Canis lupus familiaris: one gene and its partner. The protein of the gene in region 1 purifies or fractionates together with the protein of each later gene. This does not show direct contact. Links are inferred from orthologs where the notes say so. Each region holds a gene or a part of one and is shown on either strand. Other genes may lie near its edges.

What was found.
Region 2: the proteins of PTPN14 (region 1) and WWC2 purify together in Homo sapiens (affinity purification with mass spectrometry, with the first as the bait; 3 studies listed by BioGRID). This does not show direct contact. The link is inferred for Canis lupus familiaris from reciprocal best matches to the Homo sapiens genes PTPN14 and WWC2.

The regions. Positions count from the first base shown.
Region 1 is NC_049228.1:12,217,273-12,220,841, forward strand, and holds part of PTPN14 (tyrosine-protein phosphatase non-receptor type 14), read right to left. Parts: intron 3,273-3,569; coding exon 3,054-3,272; intron 1-3,053. UniProt on the Homo sapiens protein: Protein tyrosine phosphatase which may play a role in the regulation of lymphangiogenesis, cell-cell adhesion, cell-matrix adhesion, cell migration, cell growth and also regulates TGF-beta gene expression, thereby modulating epithelial-mesenchymal transition.
Region 2 is NC_049237.1:48,002,680-48,006,248, reverse strand, and holds part of WWC2 (protein WWC2), read left to right. Parts: coding exon 1-60; intron 61-3,383; coding exon 3,384-3,513; intron 3,514-3,569. UniProt on the Homo sapiens protein: Regulator of the Hippo signaling pathway, also known as the Salvador-Warts-Hippo (SWH) pathway.

The DNA.
Region 1 (3,569 bases):
CCAGGACAGCATTACCTGCTGAGCATGGGTCCGTTTGTATCTACCTGCAAACCCTGGATAATATTTTTTAGGCCAAATGGGTTAAGTGCCATTATTCAAAAGCCCCTGGCACATTCTTACACAAAAATACTTTTTGCCAAAAACAAAAAAAACAAAAAAAAACCTTTTTGCCACTCAAGCCTATTAAAATACACCCAATCTTTCTTTCCTGTAATTTACAGTAATTATATACAAACCAGTGCATGTTAAACACACACACACACACACACACACACACACACATTACATGACCATATGGGTGTGTATAACCCAACAGAACTTGTTACAGAAGCAAGACTTATGCTTACGATGTGCAATGTACTCTGATAATTTCTATTCTTTTCTCCTAGTCTATTTCCTTAATTACATTCACACACACACACACACACACACACAAACTCAAACTGGTCCTGATCACTAAATTGACTTCACACTCCACTATTATATTGTGATCCACAGTTTGAGGCATAGTACTCGCTGGTATCCCTTTAAACAACTAAAACAAAGTGTACCATGGAATAACATCCTTTTGGAAGCGATGTCTTTATACCAGTGACCTGCTAGGAACTGTGTCATTAACCTCCGCTGTTTCTGCTATTCTGTGGTGCCACATACGGTACAGGTGTGCGGGGTGCACTTACATCAACAATACGTGATATTTGATTATTAACTTCCCCTTGTGTGGTACCACAGTATCCAAACAAACTGTGGAGCCATGAGATGATTTTGGATAATAAAATTATTACCCTATGCGGCTCCGGGTGATCTTGGAAGGCTACTTCTGCAGCTATAAATATTAGTGGCAGAGAATCACGAGTAAGTTGTGCCCAAAGTGTTGAAGGTCATACTGTCAGGGTGAAGTAGTGCCCTTTGGGGGGCACTCTTCCTGTGTTCCTTTCCATTCCTGTGTCCCTTGGCATTATTACAAAGTCAAGCCTCCTTAGACACCCACCAGCGCAAATCTCTAGATAGTTCTCGGAGCATGAAGTGATCATTGTTTGAATTTTTTTTCCCCTCATTTATTTTATAAAACTATATACTAACTGGATTCCAACAAAAACAATGTTAGTTATTGTCTCATTACAGAAGACATGTTTAGGTCAAAGCTGGCAAGCAAAATCCATTTTCCAAGTACTGGTGGGAGATAACATTCATATATTGGCTGGCTGGCTAGGAGTTTCGTTTATCTGTGGAATTGTGATTTTAAACATTAGCCTCTCTGGCACCCAACATATAGGAACCATAAATACTTCCAGAGTATGCGGCTGCCTGGGGCCTTTCGACAAATTCCAAGTATTGACAGGAGGGCATTAAAAACTGCATTAAAAACACAACAACCAATGCTACTGAGGTAGATTTCACAGATGTGATGATTCTACCTCTGGAGCAAATCAATCTCTGCTCTGTGTTAATAGCTGCTTGGAACCCAGGGAGAAAACATTGGCAAGATATACAACTCTATTCCAAAAAACACAAGGACAAGTTCTTGCAAGCTCGATGGGTCTATTAAATGCACCCATGTCTAACCCTGATCCACAAGATGAAATGTAAGCCTCGGAGAATACAGAGGAAGGGAATGCTTCTGTTAACAATACCCAATGGGCACACTTGATGCAGAGTGGCAGCTTTTCCAGAGAACAGATGGAAAATGATGAAGGATATCTGGCCAAAAGAAGAAGATAGTACGATATAACTATATAAGATTCCAAAGACATCCTATCAAGGAGCAGCTGTGTGATTTGTATCTTTGTTTGATTCATTATTTTGGTTATTATTTCATCTAAATTAAGCCCAGGAAATGGACCATAGTCAGTTTACTTGAGAGTTTCCTGAGGTTCATTTTTTATAGCTTTAGTTCTCACTCTCAAAGTTAAACTAAAATACCCAGCATGACCCATGTTAGTTATTCCTTCACATTTTTTGACCGTACTCTCTGGTAGTTAACAATATACATATAGCTATCTAGGTTCTGTGCACAAAAACCCTGCATTCATCCACAGTGTTCTTTTCATATTCTGTTCTGCAACTGTTACAACAGAAACATGCACCAGACATCTGGCTATATTTTAGAAGCTCAAAGGAATCTACCAAAAATTCAGCTCCAGTTGGAAAGTCCAATGAAGAAAGGGAGTAACTCCAAACAAGGCCAGAAACAGATTTCTAAGGTTATGATCAAAAAAGACTATTAACGTGAACTGCGTATTATTTAAAAACATCCTGTAATAACTGCTTTAATATTAGTATATGAATAGATTCTCCCACGTTTAGAACAAACAGTGGCATTCTAAAGACTGAGGAAGGTACGCCATTTAGGAAACGGCTAACCATACATGCACGTATCTATAACTCTAAGTTCTAGCTGGGCTTGACCTAAGCTAATTTTAAAGTTGATGAAATCCTGAGACATGAAAATTTGAAGTCTCTGGAATACTAACAAAAATGGAATGGTATTCATGCCGTGAATGATGTGGCAAATCTTGCAAGATTCATCATCAACCACACCTCCAGGGCTTGTGTTGAAATGAGCCCACTCTTCTAAATAACACGTAAATTTGGACAACACGTAACCTGTAGTAGTGCAGGGGGGAACTGGTAAGTTTCTGTTGCTCTTGAACATCATAAAAACTTCAACGACAGGAGAAATACAATGCCCGTGACTTCCAAAGTCTCTATCATGTGCTAATTATAAACCAAAGGGGACAATCCTCAGCTTTTCCTGTGAGCGTTAGGGAGAGTTACAACTCACACAGATAGAGTGAAATCCTCTGTGGTGAGCAGGCTTCAGAAATAGCTGACCTGAGGTTTTCCTTGAGGCTGCTGGGCTTCCTTCTCTCTGCAGTGATAGGCATGCCCTTCCAGTTGACTAAGAATCAGGGGAGTTCAAAAACACTCCCTCAGGGGCTGGGGACAGGCCAAGATGCTGGGTCGGAGCCGTGCAATTTTTTCCTTTCTGCATTTTCCACCTCTAACCCAGCAATCTTCCACAAGCCTCCCCAACACGCTTCCCTTCTTACCTTGATATGGGAGGCATTAATGTAACCTGTGTTATTCTCTTTGGTCGGGATCAGCTCTACTCTGTTCTCCTCATAGGGGACAACTTCTCGGATGCGGCTTCGTTCGGCATTTTCTGGCAGAGCCGCTGTGCTGAAAATGCCATTCGCCTTCTTCTTTGGAATCTGCTCATATTCTGTGAACACCATTCCCTCTTCTAGCTTTTTCTTCAGGGTTCTGAACTGCAACAGAAATTAATCTTGAGCTCTCCGGATTATCTTATCCAAAAACTCCAACGAGTCAGAATCCTTTATATATTCATAGTGATAGTGTTAATAAGGAGTTTCAGGAGGTACAACGAACGAATGCTTGATTATTTGGTCTCATTATTAACCACACTGCTAGTTTCTCTGGACCAATAACCAAGTTCCTTCTCATTTATGCTTTAAACAGAACCAGCCAGGCAAGAGCTGAAATTCAAAAATCAGTATTTTCAGTATTAACACCTCTGCTTAAAGTCCTAGTGATTCCTTAAATGA
Region 2 (3,569 bases), on another chromosome or scaffold:
TCTCAGAGGATAAAGACCTCAGCGAATGTGCCCGGGAGCCGTTATATGAAGGAAGTACAGGTAAGTGGAGACCTTTGCTTGCAAGTTTTCCCCCTTAATTATTTTAAGAAGAATGGTGGGAGGGGTACTATTTCCATATAAACAAATTGTGCCAGCCGCCCCTCTCTGTGTGCTGCTTATTCGTTTTGGCTTCGTTTGAGAAGGGAGTTTTTTATTGATCTACCTGGACTGGACATTTTTTTCTTTATCAAATAAAAGTTACTTTCCCTGCTGAATAGATTCAATCATGAAGTGGCTATCCTAAACTGTCCAGAAACCCTCTGTCTGGTGGCAGCTGACTGGGAGCATGTTTTGTGGACGTACTTCATACTTCCACAAAGATTCTGTCTCTGAAATAGCAAGGCAAGAGAGAGGGGCTTTCTTTTTAAAGTTGGCCTAAAACAGATTAAAACCAAGGCAATTAGCATACCAGCTAATTAGTACCAGGGTTCAATGTTTAGATTGCTCAGGGAATTCTATATAAATACAATTTTTGTTTCATGCCAGACTCTCCCTTTCTGCCTAAAGTGAATTTGGAGAATGCTGGTTCCAATGTAGAAGTATTACCCTGCCATCTTCTGGCTGCATGACTAGTTGCAGCCCAGGAGAGCATGCAGCAGATCCAGTTCTTACTGCTGCCTTTGTATTCAGAGACAGAAATGGAGGGAGAGTTTCATCTTTTTTTTTTTTTTTTTTTTTTTTTAAGTCTGTATCCCTTTGCAAGGTGGATGCTTTCAATATATGACACGTGGTTGTCAAGAGAACAACATGGTACCCTTGCTGGCAGATGACCGTGGCTGTGGTCTGAGGGGGATGGTCTATTTGAGAGCTAGCCTGAAATGAAATGTGAAATAAAAGCTCCAGTCTGGTCCCCAGGAGCCCCGTTCAGATCTACGCACATCACTGTGTGTCCAGAACACAGAAGAGGCTGGTCCTCTTTAGAAGTATTTTCCTGCTGCTTTGAGAAGCCTATTTATTTTGTATTTCTGGTCCGAAGAATTCTATGTATTCACTGATTGGCCAATTTAGATGTTTAAAGTGATAGACAAATCTATCATGTTTGTGTGGTTTTGAATTTTGAATACTGAAGACCAAAACACCGCCTGCCAGCGGCCCGGAGCCCAAGGCAGAGGCAGGGCGCAGGAGACATGCGTGTGGTTCGTGTGGCACTGCCTAGAAGGTGCCACAGCTATAAGTAATGTGTCATCAAAATCATCAGCATCAAAGAAAATAAGCACAGGAGTAGTGTTTACTTAGTGGCTGTAGGAAAGCAGAAGCCGGTGGTGGGGCCTCCCGTCTGCCTCCAGGAAGGAGTGTGGTGTGCAGGGTGCAGTGGTGTGCGGTGCAGTGCGATGCTCCCTGCCCCAGGAGCCAGCCAAGTCCGCACTTTTACTTTGGTGCAAGCGAGCACGAGCACATCACCCAGGCTCTCAGCCTTGTTGTTTCTCCCCTGCAAAATGGGAGTGATAGAGTGTCTCCCTCGCAGAGGATTGGGAGCAGCGACGCCGTCACACATCAAGAGCATCTAACTGTGCCTGGCTCTCAGCATCAGTTCATGGAATTAGTACTACCGTACGATGAGAAGCAATACAAACTGTGCTAAGCCCAGTTGCTGCCACAAACCACTGAAATTCAAGGAAGTATGAATGAAGAAGCAAGAGGAGAAAGTGGAGCCCATATTTCTGGGCTCTGGACTTGAAGGATTTGAGCATTTCAAAGCTGTTTTCACTCTTTGTGTATTTGGAGCATTCTCCAGCGACCACTTCTCAACCACTTCTCAACCCTCGATCAGGAGGGGCTGCTCTGGGAGGCCGGCTGCTGGAGAAGAGGGAGACAAGCATAAGAATCGCCCCGGCCTGACCCCACCCGGGTGCTTGGGCCTCTGCCTGGCGGTAGCCTTTCTTCTGCCACTGGGTCTGCTGCTGCGCCCGAGAAGTCTGCCCAGAGCCCGGTGTCCCCAAAGCTTCCAGGATACAGCTTTTACCTTTCAGATGCATCTTATATTAATTAGAAAGCTGCTCCTAAAAAGTCACCCTAAAGGAATTCTATCCGAGAGCTTTATTTGGAAAGCGTATTGAGTGCCATGTGTAAAAACAACTAAAAGCATATATTTAACTGTAAAGACTAATCCCCTCAGTCAGAGCACCAGCACTCGGTGCGTTGGGGGGTGTCTGACCTCCACGTGGGGGCAGGTGGCCCAGCGTCGTGATGCCGCTCGCTCGTCTCCCTCAGCATTCTGGAGTCTTCCGCAGGCAAAGTCAACTTGCTTTATGTACATCCCGCTCTCTGGCGCCCGTCCCCGCTGGAGGACAGAGACCACGGAGGAATGACTACCAAGTCCTTCCAGTCAGTCTCTGTCATTGTCAAAGTCAATTTGAGCTGCCTCGGATATTCCTGGGGGTAATCAATAAATCATGTCATCACCTTCACCCCTCACAAAGGGGGGTGGGCGGAGAGAGGCACTTCATCATCAAGGAAAAAGCATTCCCACTGCCAGAAATAAAAGGGAAAATGCAGCAATCAATCCTGTAATCTGAAGCCTTAAAACTTAAACATCTTAACAAGATGTAAAGTCACGACTCAGAAGGGGGGCGAAATGCATACCAATCCTGATCCCTGCTCACTTGCTGGAGGATGAAAGAACTCGGCAGGCTCGCAGCTTATTACATAGGAACGCAGCTTTAAATGAATGCTCCTTGCTCACCGCAGGATGCAGTGTATGAATATGAGTTAGAGATAAAAGTTAAGTGGTAGTTGGTGCTAAAGATTCAGTAGCACGAAGTTTTTCTTTTCTTTTTTTTTTTAATGGTATTAGCTGGTGAGGAATTCTATATAAGTCAAAGACTTTTTTTTCTTTGACTCTGTTAAGTGTGGTAGCATGGGAGATGTAGAATATGGCATGTGGAGAGAAGGGGAAGCAAAAGAGGCGGAAACCTTTCTTGCCATTGAGTAGCTAGATGCTCTCTTTTACAGAAATATCTTTCATAGTTGAGGGACGCAGCTAGCTCCTTGCCACCGAGCGTTTGGTAACTACAGGGAATCCCTAACAGAGAGAGCAAGGGGCCAGTGGGAATGTGTGTCATTTATACTTTCCCTTCAGATATTTCAGGACGGAGAGAAATCACATTGTTTCTCAAACGGTGACCAAAATAACTGGCATCCCAGGAACTTCTGTAAGTCGTGATGCCTTGAATCAGCCACATGAGTTGACTCAAACCGTAACCTCCTCGATTCTCAGATGGAAATGTTTTTGGCTCTCTCACAACCAAACCACGTGTGTATTTTTGTACCTAACTTTTCCTAATTATGAATCCTAATTAGTACGCTCCCTCTCCCCTCCCTAGATGTGGAAAAATCATTACCAAAAAGAAGAGTAATCCACTTGCTTGGGGAGAAGACAGCTTGTGTGTCGGCTGCCGTGTCTGATGAGTCTGTGGCTGGAGACAGTGGGGTCTACGAGGCTTTCGTGAAACAGTAAGGACTCGCAGGAGTGCTTTTCGGTTACACCGAATCTCCTCCTAGCTGTGTGG